Macaca mulatta: one gene and its partners. The protein of the gene in region 2 purifies or fractionates together with the protein of the main gene of each other region. This does not show direct contact. Links are inferred from orthologs where the notes say so. Each region holds a gene or a part of one and is shown on either strand. Other genes may lie near its edges. The genes, in order: CALCOCO1, AURKA and WDR62.

What was found.
Region 1: the proteins of AURKA (region 2) and CALCOCO1 purify together in Homo sapiens (affinity purification with mass spectrometry; 3 studies listed by BioGRID and IntAct, counting the BioPlex papers as one, with this or other methods). This does not show direct contact. The link is inferred for Macaca mulatta from reciprocal best matches to the Homo sapiens genes AURKA and CALCOCO1.
Region 3: the proteins of AURKA (region 2) and WDR62 purify together in Homo sapiens (affinity purification with mass spectrometry; 3 studies listed by BioGRID and IntAct, counting the BioPlex papers as one, with this or other methods). This does not show direct contact. The link is inferred for Macaca mulatta from reciprocal best matches to the Homo sapiens genes AURKA and WDR62.

What each region holds. Positions count from the first base shown.
Region 1 is NC_133416.1:60,892,705-60,896,352, forward strand, and holds part of CALCOCO1 (calcium-binding and coiled-coil domain-containing protein 1), read right to left. Parts: intron 3,260-3,648; coding exon 3,069-3,259; intron 1,665-3,068; coding exon 1,506-1,664; intron 1,099-1,505; coding exon 950-1,098; intron 1-949. UniProt on the Homo sapiens protein: Functions as a coactivator for aryl hydrocarbon and nuclear receptors (NR). Recruited to promoters through its contact with the N-terminal basic helix-loop-helix-Per-Arnt-Sim (PAS) domain of transcription factors or coactivators, such as NCOA2.
Region 2 is NC_133415.1:109,159,121-109,162,840, forward strand, and holds the start of AURKA (aurora kinase A), read right to left. Parts: upstream 2,944-3,720; 5' UTR 2,729-2,943; exon of another isoform or gene 2,353-2,728; intron 1-2,352. UniProt on the Homo sapiens protein: Mitotic serine/threonine kinase that contributes to the regulation of cell cycle progression.
Region 3 is NC_133424.1:47,326,020-47,329,667, forward strand, and holds part of WDR62 (WD repeat-containing protein 62), read left to right. Parts: intron 1-401; coding exon 402-539; intron 540-946; coding exon 947-1,129; intron 1,130-3,266; coding exon 3,267-3,427; intron 3,428-3,648. UniProt on the Homo sapiens protein: Required for cerebral cortical development. Plays a role in neuronal proliferation and migration.

The DNA of each region.
Region 1 (3,648 bases), on a different chromosome or scaffold from region 2:
CTAGTTTTTTTTTTTTTTTTTTGTATTTTTTAGTAGAGACGGGGTTTCACCGTGTTAGCCAGGATGGTCTCGATCTCCTGACCTCGTGATCCACCCATCTCAGCCTCCCAAAGTGCTGGGATTACAGGCTTGAGCCACCGCGCCCGGCCTTAAACAGTTTTTTAAAATATCCCATCTACCAGTACTAAATGGAATATAATTATGTCATTTAATGAAATAAGGAACTAGAGTATTTAAACCGGTGAAAATTTGAAGGGAGACATGGGAGGTGGTGGTCAATATTTATGCTACTTGGTAGAGGAAACAACTTTCTGGAAGCAGAAAGAAATTTATTTTATGTGGCTCCAGAGGTCTCGGGACCCCATGCTAAGTTATAGGAGAGTAGAGTTTGGCTCAATACAAGAGATACAAAAATGACAGCTGTCAAATGTTAAAGAGGCTGCCTCCTGAGGGTGACCTCTTACATACCCTCATACATATCTTACATTCCCAATGCTAAGAGTCTATGATTTGTATCTTTTTTTCCAGAGGAGAGATTCCATAACATTCCTGGATCACCAGTTCTAATGTTTCTTAATAGTAAGAACACAGTCCAATCTTATCTTTCCTGCTGCCAAATCTGAAATCCATCCTCTCTTATCTTGCACTGACTTTCATCCATTCTCTTCTTCCAAATCCTCCACTCCTAGCTCTTGCTCAGCTTTTGCTGCACGATAAGTGGTAACTATGATTATTTCCAAAGCAAAGGAATACAGAATAGCGTGCGGAAAGATGGTAGAGAGCTCGGCAGAAAAGGGTATCCCCAGTAATTGGACTAGCATGAGTGAGGGTAGGAGGGAAAGAGAAAGCATGTGAGGCAGACAGCAGGTCTGCCCGCCTGAGAGAGGGGGCTGGAGCGTGGGGGTCATGGAAAGGAGAGGAAGTGACGGGGTCAGTGGACTCCCCTCACCTGTCGAGCTCCACTTCCTTCGTCAGCACTTTCTCACTGATGGTCTGAATGTCATCCTCCAGCTCCAGGATGCGTGCCACATGGTCTCCCTGTTGCCGGCTCAGGATGTCCCTCTCTTCTGTGATCTCCCCATGGGACCGGGAAATCCCCTGAAATTAAGTTTCCCCCAGAAGAAAAGGGAGGTTGGGATTCATCTCTCAAGTAGTGGAACAAAGGCTTAGGAAGAGCACACCAGGGTCTGACTGCTCCCACCTGGCTATCACATTGCCTTCCTTGAAAAAGAAACTGCTGGAACATTCCTTTACCTATCAACGTGGCCACCTCCACCTTACCTCAGCATTCCTATGTTCAAATAACTGAGTCTCATTACAAGTTTGGAACACGTCTCTTGTCATATCAAGTTTAATCCCAACCATTACCCCTTAAACCTATTTTCTTGATGTCAGAACCATCATAAAAGCCCACTAACATCTCTCCTTCACTCTCTTCAGTGGGTTTAGATTTTGCACGCTGGATGAGCAGCCAGACCCTACCCCCTACCTGGCCCAGCTCCCACCTTATACTGTTCCATCAGCTCCGCGTGTTCCTGCCTGGCAGTTGCCAGAGCCCTCTCGAGCTCCTGCACTCGGCTCCTCAGCTCTGTCACCTGTCCCTCCAGCTGCAGCTTCAGCTGCATCAGGTCATTCCGTTCTTGCTGGCTCTCATCGAGCTGGTTCTACAGGCGGCAGAAGGAGAAGGGGAGTGTGCTGGTGGAGTACCCCTTCTAAGGTTCCATCCTTACCACACTCCAGGTGCATTCTGGGGTTGGGAAGTTATATAGCTTTGGGCTATAAAGAGGTGAGGAAGGGGATGCTAGGTGTGCTACCGAATCCTGTCCACCACCCAGTCAGATGCACCAGCTCACGGCACTCTGAATTGCCCATCCCTCTTACCTTTCCCCACCCTAGGCCTGGCCCTTTCCTCACCCAGCAATTGCAGGAATCCCTTGTGTGGCATGTCAATGAACACAAACACAAGGGATGGCTCCCTTAATTTTACCCTATCTGCTCTGGAGTTGGACAGACTTGGGTTCAAATCTTCAATGCAATTTTTACTAGCTATGTGATTTTTTTAAAGACAGGGTCTCACTATGCTGCCCAGGCTGGAGTACAGTGGCTAGCCATAGGTGCAACCACAGCATACAGTACCTCAAACTCCTGGCCTCAAGCAATCCTTCCACCACAGTGTCTCCCCAGTAGCTGGGACTATAGGCACATGCCACTACACCCAGCTGGCTATGTGATTTTGAACAAGTTTCTTAACTTCTCTAAGTTAAGAAACATGTCCTCATCTGTAACATGATCCCTTAGTCTGAATTGTTGTAGGGCTCAAATGAGAATCATAATGGTGAAAACACAATAGAGAGTAGGAGCTCATCACACATCTTTCACTTATGTGAGATATAAACATCTTCCTAGGTGACAGAGCAAGGCTGTCTCAAAAAAAAAAAAAAAAAGAAAAACAAACAAACAAACAAACAAACAAACAAACCCCAAACAGTATCATTTCAACGTGTAGTCAAAATAAAAATTATTGAAGTCTTTTACATTCTCTTTAAAAAATACTAAGTCTTCAAAATCTGGAGTATATTTTACCCTTATAGTACATCTCAGATTGGATTAATTGCATCTGAAGTGCTCAAGAGCCATATATAGTTAAGAGCCTTTAGTATCGGACAGTACAGATCTGGGGCCTTGCCTATCTGCTCTCACTCCCCACTCGTCCTGGAAGCAGGTCTTGTGCTCCCTTTTCTCTGAATGTTCCCTCGAGTAGCCTCCCTCCACCCTTTAGATCTTCCTCTAGGGCATAAGGCAGTATGTAGCGCGTAGAGAAGGAAGGCTGCAAAAGTTCTTATGAAATCCTGAGTTACACTGGCCTGTGGGTGGTCTCCTTTCCTGCCTTACATGTTCATGTATGTCTATGTTAGACTGAGATTTTCCTGAAGGCAGGACCTTGTCTAACTTTCAGTGAGGTCTTTAGTTGAGGCCACAGATGAGGGGAGGGTAAGGTGGGAAGGGCCCTCTTGCAATGCTGTCTCCCACTCCCTTGCCTGAGAATAACTCTGTTGCTCTTTTCTCACCTGTAACACAGTTGCCTTGGGGACAACCAGCAGGATGTCAGAGCCCCCATCAGCCTCCTCCAGGGTCACCAGTTCATCCATGGGCCTTGGCTCTCGGAACTGGAAAGGGGGGCTCTGCCCACACACCCGGCCCTGGCGGTTCACATATCGGAACTGGTAGAGCTGAGCTCCTGGTTTGGGCAGGTAGCTGGCTGTGGGAAGAAGAATGGACCCAGGACCCCAAATGATCCACTGTCCTTGGCTCCAGCCCCTTGCTCAGTATTCCATATACTGTTTCTTCTCTTCTCCACCTCCCACAGGCCATTTCTTTTCCTAGGGTACTCTTCTCTCTCCTTTCTGCCTATCCCTCTCCTTCCTTTCTCACCACATAATGCTACCTTTCCATCTTCCTTACTCCCTGGTTTTTCCTTCTTTGGGTAGGACATGGGACTAGACGTCCTCTGATGTTCCTTCTGTCTCTAAGTCACTGATTCTGCAATAATCCCATGATTTTCTATCTGCTGAGCCCTGTTGGATATATTCTCATTATATTTATTTTCATTTATTTTTCCTTGTCCTTTGTGCCTAACTTTTAATGTTT
Region 2 (3,720 bases):
ACCGCTTCCCTTCTCCACTTCTCACCTCCCTGTTCATGGGTGTGCCCTGAGCTCACGCCTAGAACGACTTCTCCATCTCCAATTACTCCCTAGCCAAGTACATCCAGTCTCTTTGCTTTCAATACCATCTACAGGCTGAGGACTCCCAAATATTCATTCTTCAGCCCAGACCTCTCCTCTGAACTCCTGATCTACATTTTCTACTTTCTACGCAACATCTGCACCTGATTATCTGAGAGGCATCTCCATTTTAACATGTCCCAAACAGAAGTCCTAATCCCTCCACACTCTCACCTCCCCAAATCTAGTCTCTAGATATCCTCATCCCAGTTGATGGCAAATCCATCCTGCCAGTTGCTCAGGCCAAAAGCCTTGGCATAATAACCCTTTAAGAGGTTTCTCTCTCTCTCAAACCCCTCATCTAATCCACGAGCATATTCTGTAGGCTCTGCCTTCAAGATCACTGCTCAGAACCTCTACTACTACCACCTGGTCAAACCGTAATTCTCCTTTGAATTTTTTGCAACGGCCTCCCAATGGCCTCCCGACTTCCAACCTTACCCCGTTATGGTCCATTCTCAACACTGAGGCCAACAATCTCATTAACAAGTCAGATGTGTTGGTCCTTGGTTCAGAAGACCCCCATGGCTCCCCAACTCAATCAAAACAATGCAAACTCCTAACCTGCATAGACAGGCCTATTGAAGTCTCACAGAACATGGACCCTAACTGCCTCTCTGACTTCATCTCTTCTTCTCGATTGTGCACCAGCCACACAAGGCTTCTTTCTTTCCTCAAACAAGTCCCCTGCCATAGGCATTTGCACTTCTTGCTCCCTTTATTAGGCTTTTCCCCCAGGTGTGTAGTTCAGTCTTTCATTTCACAGAGGTTTCTCTTTTTTTTGAGATGGAGTTTTGCTCTTGTTGCCCAGGCTGGAGTGCAGTGGCACAATCTCGGCTCACCCACAACCTCCACCTCCCGGGTTCAAGCAATTCTCCTGCCTCAGCCTCCGGAGTAGCTGGGATTACGGGCATATGCCACCACGCCCAGCTAATTTTGTATTTTTAGTAGAGACGGGGTTTCTCCATGTTGGTTGGGCTGGTCTGGAACTCCCCACCTCAGGTGATCCACCCGTCTCGGACTCCCAAAATGCTGGGATTACAGGCATGAGCCACCATGCGCAGCCTTCACTGAAGTTTCTTATCAAATGTCCCCACACTCCAGCCTGGGCAACGGAGTGAGACCCTGTCTCAAAAAAAAATTAAAATTGCCATTTTACAATTAAGCAAATAACTCCATGATGAAGCTAGGCCCAGACTACAGGCGGGAGCCCTTATGAAAAAACAGTGGGTAAGTTAAAAAGTTAATAAACAGCAGCAAGGAAATGCCCACTTGTGTAATCATTTAATTTCACACATGCTCTAATGCTTTACTTCCCTTACAATTACAAGTAGCAGTCTAATGAGATCACAGAGGCCTAACAACATTTATTTAACATTCTTCTGACAGAAGCTACAGGCATTTGCTCCAATTTATTCTACTTTTCTTTCTAGGGAAATTGAGTAACAAGCAGAATGGAATAAGATTCTAATCCAGAATTCTGGAGACAACGCCAATAAGACTGCCCTTCAGGTGACTCTAATCTGCAACCAGATGACTTTCACAGGATCTATTCAGTTCACACCAGAAATCCTACCACTGTGAATAGAAAAGCTGTTAGGCTAATAGCACAGGAGGTTTATACGGGTTTGTTCCTTCCTCCTTCAGACCTGTGCATGTCTGCAGAGATGAAGGGAAGGACGAATTGAGTAGGTTGCTGAAAAACGTTTAATTCAAGGGACAAGGAAGGTTAAGGAAGAGGAAGAGACATTACGAGTTAACGACAGTGGCTACGTCTACCTCAGCCGGAGGGATCTTAGAAATGGAGACTCTGAGGCCCAACCCCAGGTCTAGGAAAACAGATTCTGCATTTTAACATCCCCAGACGATTTGCATGCACCGGTCTGCATCCCTAGTTCTCAATGAAATCAAAGAATCATCTGGAGAGTTTGCTAATAACTAGACACCTGGGTCCTATCCCTCAGAGATTCTGATTTTCCGGGCTCTCGGTGGAGCTATATTTTTAACAAGGCTCTCCAAGTTATCCCGATATAACTACTTCAAGGTCTACGGTCTGAGAAGTACGGACCGGGAAGGCCTCTGCAAGGAGGTTCTCATTCATCAATTCACCCACTCATCCAGCCAGGACAAGGGCCTTCCTAGGCTATTCTGTCTAAAGCGGCCCCCGTTAAACCGCACTCCTGCTTTTCCCTTATAACACCCACCCCAGTTGCAAGTTCTCTGTACGCTTACCGTCTGACTCCCTACCCACTAGAACGTGAACTCCAACACAGCAGCGACCTTCTGTGCTTTTCTTACCCAGGTGATCTCCGAGAACAAAATCCAATCTGACGCTCACCCACCCCTCCCGCGCGTGTCAACACCACTCAACAAACCCCTTCTACCTCTAGCTGTAATAAGTAACAAGCAGTGTCTTACAGGGCGCCTCGGTGCCCAAGAGCGGATGCAAAGGCACTGGGCGGGCACAGGGTAGCGCCAAGGACACCCAGGGACGGAGGAACCGAGAGGGGACTTGACGCTCCGCCACTCCGGCCGGCCGCCCCTTGTCCCCGCCGCCCTCGTCGCCACTGAGATATCCCCCACGGTCTACCCACCCGTCGGCTCCCACCTGCGACCCAAAGACCCGAGTCTTCCAAGAGCTCAGCCGTTAGAATTCAAAGGTTCTTCTTTTTAAATAGGAGTTAAACCCTCTAGCCAGAAAGCCGATTGGCCTGCACTCGAGCGAGGCTGCCTTGTGATTGGTTGACAACAAACCCGACGCCTTGAGTCGCGTTTAAGGCGCACACCGCGCGCAGGCGCACTTGCTCCTTGAGACCCCGGAAGTGGCGGAGCCAACGGCCAGCCAGACCCGTGGCAGTGCCAGCCCCAGGGTACTCTCCGGGGTCGGCCATTTATCGGTGAGGCAGCAGCCCCTTGACGTCAAGCTTGTCGCATTGGAGATAAAGTCCGAGGGGGTGAACTAACCTTTTGAACGTGCCAGTAAGTAAGATGGCGAGAAAAGCAAGCGAGAGTGCGACCGATCGATAGCGCAGCGGTCGGCTTGGCGCCCTTTCAGCGTGCGCAGTGAATGTGCGCTCGGAGCGGTCGATTGGGCAGGATTCGCGCCTCCATTTTTCCAGGAGAGAGCGGGATACCGAGAGAACCGGACCAGCTGGTACTGGGGCACGGGGAGAGTGGCTGGTGCGGTCGGCTGGGGCGTTTAGCGAAAACCACAGAAACAACTGGGGCGAGACCGGAAGAGTCCAGAGTTAGCAAGATGGCATGCGCCTCTACTTTGTGCTTCCTAAGTTGCCCGGCTTGGCCTGCACCCCCTCCTCTTCCTCAAAGGGCCTCGCTTCCATTCCCACCCAGTCCTTAGTTCGCCTCTGCATCCAGATGGTCGCGGCGCATATAGTGAGGGGGCGTCTGTGTTCTAGCCTTTCCAACTGCGATGTAACCGGTCCTGGATCGGGTTCTTGTCCTCGTGTCTCCGTGTGCTCACCTGCAAATTGGGGATAATTAGGCTTCTGTTTACCTGGCGAGTGAACGTTCTGTGGGAGTTGAGAAGTTAGGACTGGGCCACCATAAAATATATATATACACATATATATATATACACAC
Region 3 (3,648 bases), on a different chromosome or scaffold from region 2:
GAGGGTTGGGGAGAGGCGCCTCCCTCATGGGGCTATTGAGGGAATTTCATGGGTTATCCTGTGAAGGGCTCAGGGCAGGGCCCAGAGCAGGAGCACCATCCGTGACAGCCATAGGTTGTGTTGTCCTTACATCCCAGCCATGACTGTCCCCAATACCATGTGTGGGCTGCAGAGCTTAGACCCTTGGGAGAGCTCTGGAACATACTCTCCTGGGGGGACCATTCCAAGCCTCTGTCCCCTCCTCTGTGGTGAGGAATGAGCAGGTTGCCCCACATAAGTTTCCCCATACAGCAGCTCCCTGGAGGGTCCCAGGAAGACAGACTTGGAGTGGGGACGAGCAGGGAGGCCCAGGCAGTCCAGTGGAATGAGTGCTGGCACGAGCTTTGCACTTATTCTTCCAGAAAGACATCGTAGTGGCCTCCAACAAGGTATCTTGTAGAGTCATCGCCCTCTCCTTCTCAGAGGACAGCAGCTATTTTGTCACTGTTGGGAACCGACATGTGAGGTTCTGGTTCTTGGAAGTCTCCACTGAGACAAAGGTGAGTTTCTGTCCCTGGCCCTTTAACCAGGCCCTGAGGGAGTCACCATCTGTGGCAGCATGGCCTCCTGTTTCTCCCTGGGATTTGAGGGCAGCGGTCTCGGGCCATTTGACCTCTCAGGGGCCCAGCTGCTGCTTCTGGGCCTACTCTCAGGGGGCTGATGCACAGGCCCTGCCAGGAACCCCCTGACCCTGGGACCAGCTCTCATTCTTGGACTGCTGCTTCCAGCCCCCCTGTCCAGAGTGGCAGGGTTCTAGTGTTTTCTTTCCTTCTCCTCCATTTGGAAGAGCTTCTTGGAGTTCTCCTGTTTCGTTGTGTCCTATCATCTGGTCATGCAGGACCCATCGTGGCCCTGTTGGGGGCTCAGCTGTGTGGACAGTATCTCACTATGCCCTCTGTGTCTCCAGGTGACGAGCACAGTGCCCCTTGTAGGGCGCTCAGGCATCCTGGGCGAGCTACACAACAATATCTTCTGTGGTGTGGCCTGCGGTCGGGGCCGGATGGCAGGCAGTACCTTCTGTGTGTCCTACTCGGGCCTCCTCTGCCAGTTCAATGAGAAGAGGGTGCTGGAGAAGTGGATCAACCTGAAGGTACCACCTCCCTCTCTGCCATCAGTTGGACAGGCTCTTTCTCATGATATGTGTCTGCAGGGGTGTTCATTAGTATTGACCACACAGGTTCTGCTTATGTGACTAATGGTGAATGACACCCCCTCTCTGAGCTTTAGGTTCCACATCTGTAAAATGGGAGTACTGCTGCCCTCCCCACAGAGCTGATAAAGAAGTCACGTGAGATAATATAGGCAGTGAGCACCGTGCTTGGTAACCTGAAATGGGCTCAAGGTGACAGTTTTTTTCCCATTACTATTTGATCTACTTCACATTTCTCTTCTCCTTTGAGCACTCTGGCTGGTAGAGGATTGCATTTTTAAAAACTCAGAGGTATCATTGATTTAATAACTTTTCAATCAAAAAAGACTACACAAAATGCATGAACTTTTATTTATTTTTAATTTTTTTTTTTTGAGATGGAGTCTTACTCTATTGCCCAGGCTGGAGTGCAGTGGTGTAGTCTCGGCTTACTGCAAGTTCCGCCTCCCAGGTTCAAGCGATTCTCCTGCCTCAGCCTCCCAAGTAGCTGGGATTACAGGCGCCTGCCACAACGCACAGCTAATTTTTGTATTTTTAGTAGAGACAGGGTTTTACCATGTTGACCAGGCTGGTCTCAAACTCCTGACCTTTAGTGATCCACCGGTATTGGCCTCCCACTGTGCCCTGCCATAAACTTTTAAACTAAAGCATGATCTATCGATACATTGCAGAGCTTCTTTCCTTTAGTATCTGAAAGTTTGTGTCCAAGCTATTTTCCCATCTGGAATCAGTTGCCCATTTGGCTATCAGCCAGAGCGTTGTGGTTTTCTCTCCTGTTCCTTGCTTGCCTTTGTAACTCACTCCAGAGATCACCTTTGAGGTTAATGGCGTGTGAAAGAGTTCCAAGTTTTATATTTGTCCTAGTTGGTTAAACATCATTTTCTCTTTTTCAAGCAAGTGAAAAGCTTTCAATAGATAGATGTTTAGTTCCTAAACACTAAATGACTCATAAATTAAGTCCCTCTAGATTTGGAAAAACTCCTTAAACTGCGTCTAGAGGTCTAGCACTTCCTAGTAGGATAGACAGTCCTTTCTAGATACTATAACTTTTTTCTTTTTTCTTTTTTTTTTTTTTTGAGACGGAGTCTCGCTCTGTCGCCCAGGCTGGAGGGCAGTGGCCGGATCTCAGCTCACTGCAAGCTCCGCCTCCCGGGTTCACGCCATTCTCCGGCCTCAGCCTCCCGAGTAGCTGGGACTACAGGCGCCCGCCACCTCGCCCGGCTAGTTTTTTGTATTTCTTAGTAGAGACGGAGTTTCACCGTGTTAGCCAGGATGGTCTCAATCTCCTGACCTCGTGATCCACCCGTCTCGGGCTCCCAAAGTGCTGGGATTACAGGCTTGAGCCACCGCGCCCGGCCTTATAACTTTTTTCTGTACTGCTTTGGAGTATAGTCATTATGAAGTTGTTTGTAAGCAAAAGGGAATAAAATTTAAGCCTAAAGGCCAGGCGCAGTGGGTCATGTCTGTAATCCCAGCACTTTGGGAGACCGAGGTGGGTGGATCACCTGAAGTCAGGAGTTCAAGACCAGCCTGACCAACATGGTGAAATCCCATCTCAAAATACAAAAAAATTAGCCGGATGTGGTGGCAGGTGCCTGTAATCCCAGCTACTCTGGAGGCTGAGGCAAGAGAATCGCTTGAACCCGGGAGGTGAAAGTTGCAGTGAGCCAAGATCGCACCGTTGTACTCCAGCCTGGGCAACGACCAAAAAAAAAAACTCCATCTCAAAAAAAAAAAAATTTAAGCTTAACATTCAACCCTGTTACTACAAGTGACTTACCTGAAATTGCAGTCTGCTGAACAGGTATTCTTCATACATAGCTACGTTTCTCTGTAGACGGCAGTGACATCTCTGTCTCCGTTCATGTCTCTGTCTACCTGGGGACACATGTATTTCAATAGCAGCAGTATACTATACCTTGATTTCAGAAATCTTAAAATATGCTAAAATGGGTGTCTTAGACCCAAGGAACTATAAGTCTTCTCTGGAGGCCTAAGGCTGCTCTGTCAGTCCCCATGTCCCTGGGCCAGGCCACGTGAAGCACCAAATCCACTGGGGTCCCTTTTGCCCCTACAGGTCTCCCTGTCTTCCTGCCTCTGTGTCAGCCAGGAGCTCATCTTCTGTGGCTGCACAGATGGGATAGTCCGCATCTTCCAGGCCCACAGCCTGCACTACCTCGCCAACCTGCCCAAGCCACACTACCTTGGGGTAGATGTGGCACAGGGCCTGGAGCCCAGGTACTGCCCTGCAGGGAGAGGGAACGGAACGGTCGGGGCCCACCCAGAGTCTCTCCACTGACATTCATCCATGCTTCCAGATCCATATATCTGTCCATCCCACAAATACTCATCATGACTCTCAGCCCTGGGTGTTACAAAGCAGAAAAGTCCTTGCCTTCCAAGGCAAGCTTCACAGTGAGAAGTGAGGCTGGGTAGGGGAAGAAACAGTCAGTGAGAAA